Linked DNA regions of Xenopus tropicalis. Each later gene encodes a partner of the first gene's protein in a complex. Links are inferred from orthologs where the notes say so. Each region holds a gene or a part of one and is shown in the gene's direction. Other genes may lie near its edges.

Region 1 (2,813 bases):
GGAAGAAGTTAGAAATGCATCAGCTCTCCAGCCACCACAGTGCCAAGATTGAACGAGTAAGGAGCAACAGCTCAGCTGCCAATCTCATGGCCAAGAAGAGAGTCATCCGTATGCTGATCGTCATTGTCATCCTGTTCTTCATCTGCTGGACCCCTGTCTTCAGTGCAAATGCCTGGAGAGCCTTTGACACGGATTCAGCAGATATCAGCCTGTCGGGGGTGCCAATTTCCTTCATCCACTTGCTCTCCTACACCTCTGCCTGCGTCAATCCCATCATATACTGCTTCATGAACAAGCGGTTCCGCATGGGCTTCCTGGCAACGTTCACTTGCTGTTCCAGCAGGGGAGCCCAAGGCAGGAGGATGGTCCCAGGAGTGGCAGATGAAGAGGGGAGGACCACTGGGGCTTCTCTGTCCCGATACACTTACACCAATATCAGTCTTTGTGCCACCGCATCAGCCCCAACATGACACTGAGAGTAAAAGCAAGACACAAAATAAAGGCACGATGGGTTGTTTGTGGAACTAAGTGGCATTACCTGAAAACTGAATTAATTGGTTTAACTATAACTTGGCCTGTGTTAGTACTGTTATCCCCAGTCTCCAGTGGGACAGTCATTGGGATAATCCTGTGCTTTACTAGTCTGTTGTACAAAATGGCTACCAAATGGGCTGTGCCAACCGGATGTAAACATGAATAAGTGGCTGATGGATTTCACAGGTACCTAAAGGAGGGGTCACAGTGGGTGGAGTCATCCTAAGTAACTTTCCAATCTATGTTCATTAGGGATTTTCAGTGTTACTTGTAGTTGCTATTAAAAGCAGTACCTGCCTGTGTGTTTACATTTTCTGCACTGCTGGCTCTGACTCCTGAACCAATGTTGCAAGTCAGCTGATTAACTGCCCTGGAGGAGAACTGACTCATGTTGTACAAGTGAGACCCAGAGAACAGGAAAGGATAAACATACACTGTGTTACAAATTACTTTACGGCCACTGGGCATTTTTAATGAATGTACATTGGAAAGGTGCTTAAAATGTGTATATTCATTAATTCAGCAAACAAAATCATTATTTTGGGAGGAGGACTCCTTTACAAAATTGTATTGTGATATTGGGATTAACTGCATTGTGGAATGTTTGCAGTGTCGGACTGGGGTACCGAGGTCCCACAGGTTCCCAAGCCAAGGGCCCAGTCAATAGCACATTGCACACCCCTGTCTACCCCTTTTGCGCCCCACCACACAGATGCTTACACTGCCAGCGTCAATCAGGCCACACCTCCTGGGACATATTAAACATGCCCGTGCATTTTACAGTGGGAAGCACAGCCATCTTTAATTTAGCTTGAAGCTTCCCAACAGGATTGGGTGGGCCAGTCTACCCTGAATGCTTGTGCATTGTTTTGTGATTAAGTTTGTCTGTGTCCTGGGACTGTACGGTCATGTGAGTTTTGTGTTGTGTCCTGTATCCAGAAAGCTGCTCATTTATCATCAGTGGGCAAAGTTGCGCCTTGGTGGTAACCCACGCAACTACTTAGTGATTTGCCTTTTTTTCCAGCCAGCTGAAGGTAGAACAATAAATGCAAAAACACCTTATTGGTTTCCATTGGTTACTGGTCAGTTGGAAATTTGCCCAGTGTAGATAAATGGAAATTTGCCCAGAGTTGTACCTAGGGCAACCATACCAAACCAACAGCTAATGAATGAAGTGCTCAAACATATATATCTATATCGATTGTACAGTATACTATACACATTAAACAGCATTTCTTAAATGGCTGAAGCGGCCCACAGTGGGCCTAACCCAATGGGATTTTTTAACCTGCCTGATAAATATTTGGCCTGTCCCAAGCCAGACCTACTATTTAGCCCTAGACATAGGCTAAAAAGCTGCTGATATGGTCTGGATTCAGCAGCCAATCCCAGACAGGTTTAGAGTTGGAGAAAAATCTTGGCGTCCAGGCAAATAATGTGTCACGCGCTGTATTTATTGGCCTACTGAAAACAACAAACAGGATATGAAATCTGCCAAAATATCTCTGCACCTGTTTGTGACTTCAACAGTCTTGAGGAGGGAGAGAGACTGCAGTGTGAGAGCTGGACCATATGTCATCTCAGCAGTGAGAGTGATGTGCCGAGCCCGAGTGCAGCAACTCTGGGGAACGAAATATAAACAGAATGGGAAAAAACATACTGAATAATGTTGTTTCTATTAGTTAGCCTTATAAAGGCCCAAAAAGTAAGTGCATAAAGGTGTGGGATCTGTTATCCAGAAAACCGTTATCCAAAAGGGGGAGTTACAGGAAGGCCATCTCTCATAGACTCCATTATAATCAAATAATTCTAATTTTAAACAATGATTTTCTGTTTCTCTGTAATAATAAAACCGTACCTTGTACTTGATCCCAACTAAGATATAATTACCCCTTATTGGGGGCAGAACAGCCCTATTGGGTTTATTTAATGGTTAAATGATTCCCTTTTCTCTGTAATAATAAAACAGTACCTGTACTTGATCCCAACTAAGATATAATTGCCCCTTATTGGGGGCAGAACAGCCCTATTGGGTTTATTTAATGGTTAAATGATTCCCTTTTCTCTGTAATAATAAAACAGTACCTGTACTTGATCCCAACTAAGATATAATTACCCCTTATTGGGGGCAGAACAGCCCTATTGGGTTTATTTAATGGTTAAATGATTCCCTTTTCTCTGTAATAATAAAACAGTACCTGTACTTGATCCCAACTAAGATATAATTACCCCTTATTGGGGGCAGAACAGCCCTATTGGGTTTATTTAATGGTTAAATG
Region 2 (3,991 bases), on another chromosome or scaffold:
ATTAAGCAATAAATAATTATTAAAACCATCTGATTTATAAAAACAATATATGTACCATGTTGCTGTTATCTCAAAGACCCTGACCAGTATTTTATACTTAGTTCATTGTTCAAATCTCAGTATTTTATACTTAGTTCATTGTTCAAATCTCATATAACAGCATTAACTCTTTTTTCCCACAATTTTTACGCCCCAAAACTTTGTCCCCAAACTTTGCAAAGTTGGTCACTGGAGGACTGCAGTTAAAAAATAGGGGTTGGGCCATTAACAGCCAATCAGATTTCATTCATTGAATTTTATTGGTTTAAATTTAAAATGCTGTCATTCTCACACTATTTATGCCAGAGTGCCCACTGTTTGTCACTGGGTGACGTCGACTCAAGATTAGAAAAAGTGGGCGGAGCCACCAACCACCAATCACAATTTGCCTATTGACTTTTATTGGTTTAAATGTAAACAGCTGCCGTTCTTTAACTATTAATACTAGAGTCCCTAAACTTTGCAGAGTTAGTCACTGGGTAACAGCATGTCCAGGTTAGAGAAAGTGGAGCCACCAACCGCCAATCAGATGTCACTCGTTGACTTTCAGTGGGGAAAAATAAATTGCTGCTATTCAGACACTATTAAAACCAAGGTCCCCAAACTTTGCACAGTGGTTATTACTATATAACTGTGGTTAGAAAAAGTGGGGCGAGCCAACAACAGATCAGATTTCATTCAGTAACTTCACATTTTTCAACCCAACATGAAGTTTGTTCTCAAACTTCCCTTTCTAGTTATCAGTAAATATTTAAATAAATCAGGGAAAGGAGAGTAAATGGATCCTTGATTTAAAAGCATACACTCATTACATTATTATGAATTAAGAACATAAGAATCATTCCAAACATTGCAGCCTCGCATCAATTCACATAATTTATGCAAAACGAGATAAAAATGCCTATATGCAAATAAATAGCACTTCCCGTGATGCTATCATTAACTAATTAATAGCTCATGTTTTAAGGATTCACCACATAAATCCAGATCTCATTATGAAAACATAACTATCAGCTAGCCATCATCCTTTGTGTTTCTGGGTGCTTGAGACAGCCTGACGCATTTCTTTCTTTAAAGTTCAGGTGGGAGCTTATACCCCCCTCTAAACCACACGTCATTCTAGCTCATTGTTAAGACCCCTATAAATAGGCCTTTGTAAAGCTGCAAATTTCAGAGTGGGATTTGATAACAAGCAACATTTTATCAGATCTTTTACATCTTGGGAAGGACCTAGGTAAGAAATGTTTTATTCCTTAGCCTAACTACTGCATTGAATGCTGAGAATTTGGAAACACCAGGATCAGCACTATGAAAGTTCCTAATCTTAACGTGTTCAGTTCAGTATAAGTGTTCTACGATCATGGCATAAATGGCAGGCTTTGTTTGACTATGCATTAATTCAATTACTTATAGGAACAGGTCAGAGCCTAGGTAAGGCAGATATTTATTTGCTGTATGTGTTTCTAGTCAGCAGGAGAGTAAAGTAGCCGTACTATTGCGCGATTTGAGCGCAGGAATCAGCACCACAGACAGTTCCTTAATGCGGCGCATTGTTCCGACTGCCGCTCGCCGATCGCTCGCTGTGACCCTTCAATACTATGTACTTGATCGTCATACTTTTCTAACTTATGGGGTTAATGCCAGGCTTTTCCTTAACTATGCAATAATTGAGCGACATATAAAAAATACTACAGGTCAAAGGTGTTTGTTCTTACTGAGCTGCCCTGGGCCGGACGGCTAACAAAACCATAATTATCATGTAATACTAATGGGCTGATAAGAGATACCTACATGTGATAATGCTGATCGATGTGCAGCCATGCTCATGGACGTGTAGTAAGGGATTGAATTTAACAGATGGAATCGGTTTTAAACGGATTATACATCAGGAAAGGGCTGCGACCAGTGTCAACATTATAGATCTGGCCCAGCAGTGTAAATGATAATGTTTGGAGAAAGGATTTAGGCTATCTCTCTTAGGGGCTCAACATCCAGGAAGGCGATCTGCTGAGCAGAGAAAGGTAAGGAAGTGCAAGGCGGAAGGATATCCTAGATTCCTGCGCTGCGCTGCTGTTTGATTAATACGGGTAATGCAGAAAGCCTTGGGGCTGAAACAACGGGAACGTACGAACAGCAGACTTTTTAAAAAAAAAAAAAATATATAGTTTTTTTTGTAAAGGCAAATCGATATGGAACATCTGGGAAGGGTGTAACCAGACTGAGAAATACCTTTTTGCCAGTCATTTACTATATTAACTTCATTATGTTGAGACTACATTAGTTGTAATGATTTCACTTATATTTGACATGCATTGCAGATCTGTCAGTCCTTGGATCAGAAAATCTTGATTTCTGCATTATTAGGACAAGGAAAGTCAGAAGCAGGAAGGGATCCAGCACATTATCATGCATTGGTCTCCCTTTCTTTCAGATCCTTGTCTATTCATGGTCATATTTAGCATATTTTAAAGATAAATATGCTGGCTTATAAGGAAGATTTTGCTTTCCATATCTGCTTATAAAAGATAGCTTCCTTATCGCTTCTATACTGACAAAAAAGGAAAAACTGTCATCTATGGCTAATAGGGGTGCAGTTGCAGAATACTAAGAATATCTTTGGGAAGCTATTCTCCTTAAAAAGGACATCATTCATATATCATGTCATTCATGTTATTTGTTCCTTAAATATGTGTGTGTTCACTTGAGTAAAGTAATTAGCCACTGTTGATGTCAGTAGGCTTTTAATGCTTTTTCGTGAGACATTTAATACAGATGTGTTAAAATGTGCAGAGGTTAAAAGTTGGAATAGGGAAGCCGTGGTACTGTAGATTTTGGGAAACTATTCATTGTTGACCAGTTGGAGATCAGCTAAAGTTCATCAATATATGTAGTACCGAATATTGTGTTTTTTCTTGGTCTAGCCATTCTTTTGTGTTAGGGTTGCCACTGTAGGGTACAAAACCCTAGAATTATTAGTTTAGGAGAAGCAAAACAGTTTAAAAGAATTTAACATTTTAGGATTGTTGGTGCTTGGCGGCTGGTACCCAATATTACAAATCTGAAACCAAAAATATTTGGGCTAACCATTCAAATTAGACAGTAGTTGCATCACAGACCCCAAATGTGACATAATACTTTCAGGCTTCTGAAATGGCTTAGTCCTGAGTGGGACAGATAGTACTGTGTGATATATATATATATATATATATATTCTACAACTCTACATTAGTCTGTTTGTATAAACACAAACTAATATGATGATACAGCCCTTTTTAAGTATGAATAAGTAGGGCTGAAACTAGACGTAGGCATTAAAGGCATCTGCCTAGGGCACATCATTTTTTGGGAAATAATCGGGTTTGATAGCATCTGGTCTGTTTCCAACACTAAGGGGCAGATTTATCAAAATGTCAGTTTAGAGCTTAATACATAAAAACTCACCCACGTTCTATTCATTTCTATGGGATTTTTAGAAGTGTATTTGTCACATGGTGAGTTCTAACTTTCATCCATTGATAAATATGGTTGTAAAAATCCCATAGGAATGAATAGAACATGGGTGAGTTTTTATGTATTAACCTCTAAACTCACATTTTAATAGATCTGCCCCTATGTCTTCTGGAAAGGGGTAATGGTGTGATGGGACCATGGGTAGTGGGAGTATTATGGTCAAAGTGGGGGTTAGATAGCCACCATTGCCTTGGCTGCCAAAGCATTTTGGACCATCTCTGTCAGCAAGCTTTAAAAGCTGACAGCCATGTCTTCATGGAATTCTTAAGAAATCCATCTGTTTTAATGCATCACAGAAACTGAAGGCTGCACTTTAAATTACCCTGGCATGCAAGTAGTTACATGAATTTTTTTTACCCTATAAATATTTATTATATGGTGCTTTTTCTTGTTTTCCTTATATCCATTACATCTTTTATTTCCTAACACGGTTTTGTAATTC

The links.
Region 2: the proteins of cckar (region 1) and cck are in contact, whole or in part, in a cryo-EM structure (PDB 7MBX), measured with the Homo sapiens proteins. The link is inferred for Xenopus tropicalis from reciprocal best matches to the Homo sapiens genes CCKAR and CCK. Residues at the interface, in NP_000721.1 of Homo sapiens: Cys94, Phe97, Asn98, Pro101, Asn102, Lys105, Asp106, Phe107, Thr118, Met121, Gly122, Val125, Tyr176, Phe185, Asn194, Met195, Cys196, Arg197, Phe198, His210, Leu213, Leu217, Ile329, Phe330, Ala332, Asn333, Arg336, Ala343, Glu344, Leu347; in NP_000720.1 of Homo sapiens: Asp96, Tyr97, Met98, Gly99, Trp100, Met101, Asp102, Phe103.

Annotation. Positions count from the first base shown.
Region 1 is NC_030677.2:32,073,943-32,076,755, reverse strand, and holds the end of cckar (cholecystokinin receptor type A), read left to right. Parts: coding exon 1-470; 3' UTR 471-2,313; downstream 2,314-2,813. UniProt on the Homo sapiens protein: Receptor for cholecystokinin. Mediates pancreatic growth and enzyme secretion, smooth muscle contraction of the gall bladder and stomach. Has a 1000-fold higher affinity for CCK rather than for gastrin.
Region 2 is NC_030682.2:54,400,208-54,404,198, reverse strand, and holds the start of cck (cholecystokinin B), read left to right. Parts: upstream 1-1,191; 5' UTR 1,192-1,273; intron 1,274-3,991. UniProt on the Homo sapiens protein: This peptide hormone induces gall bladder contraction and the release of pancreatic enzymes in the gut. Its function in the brain is not clear.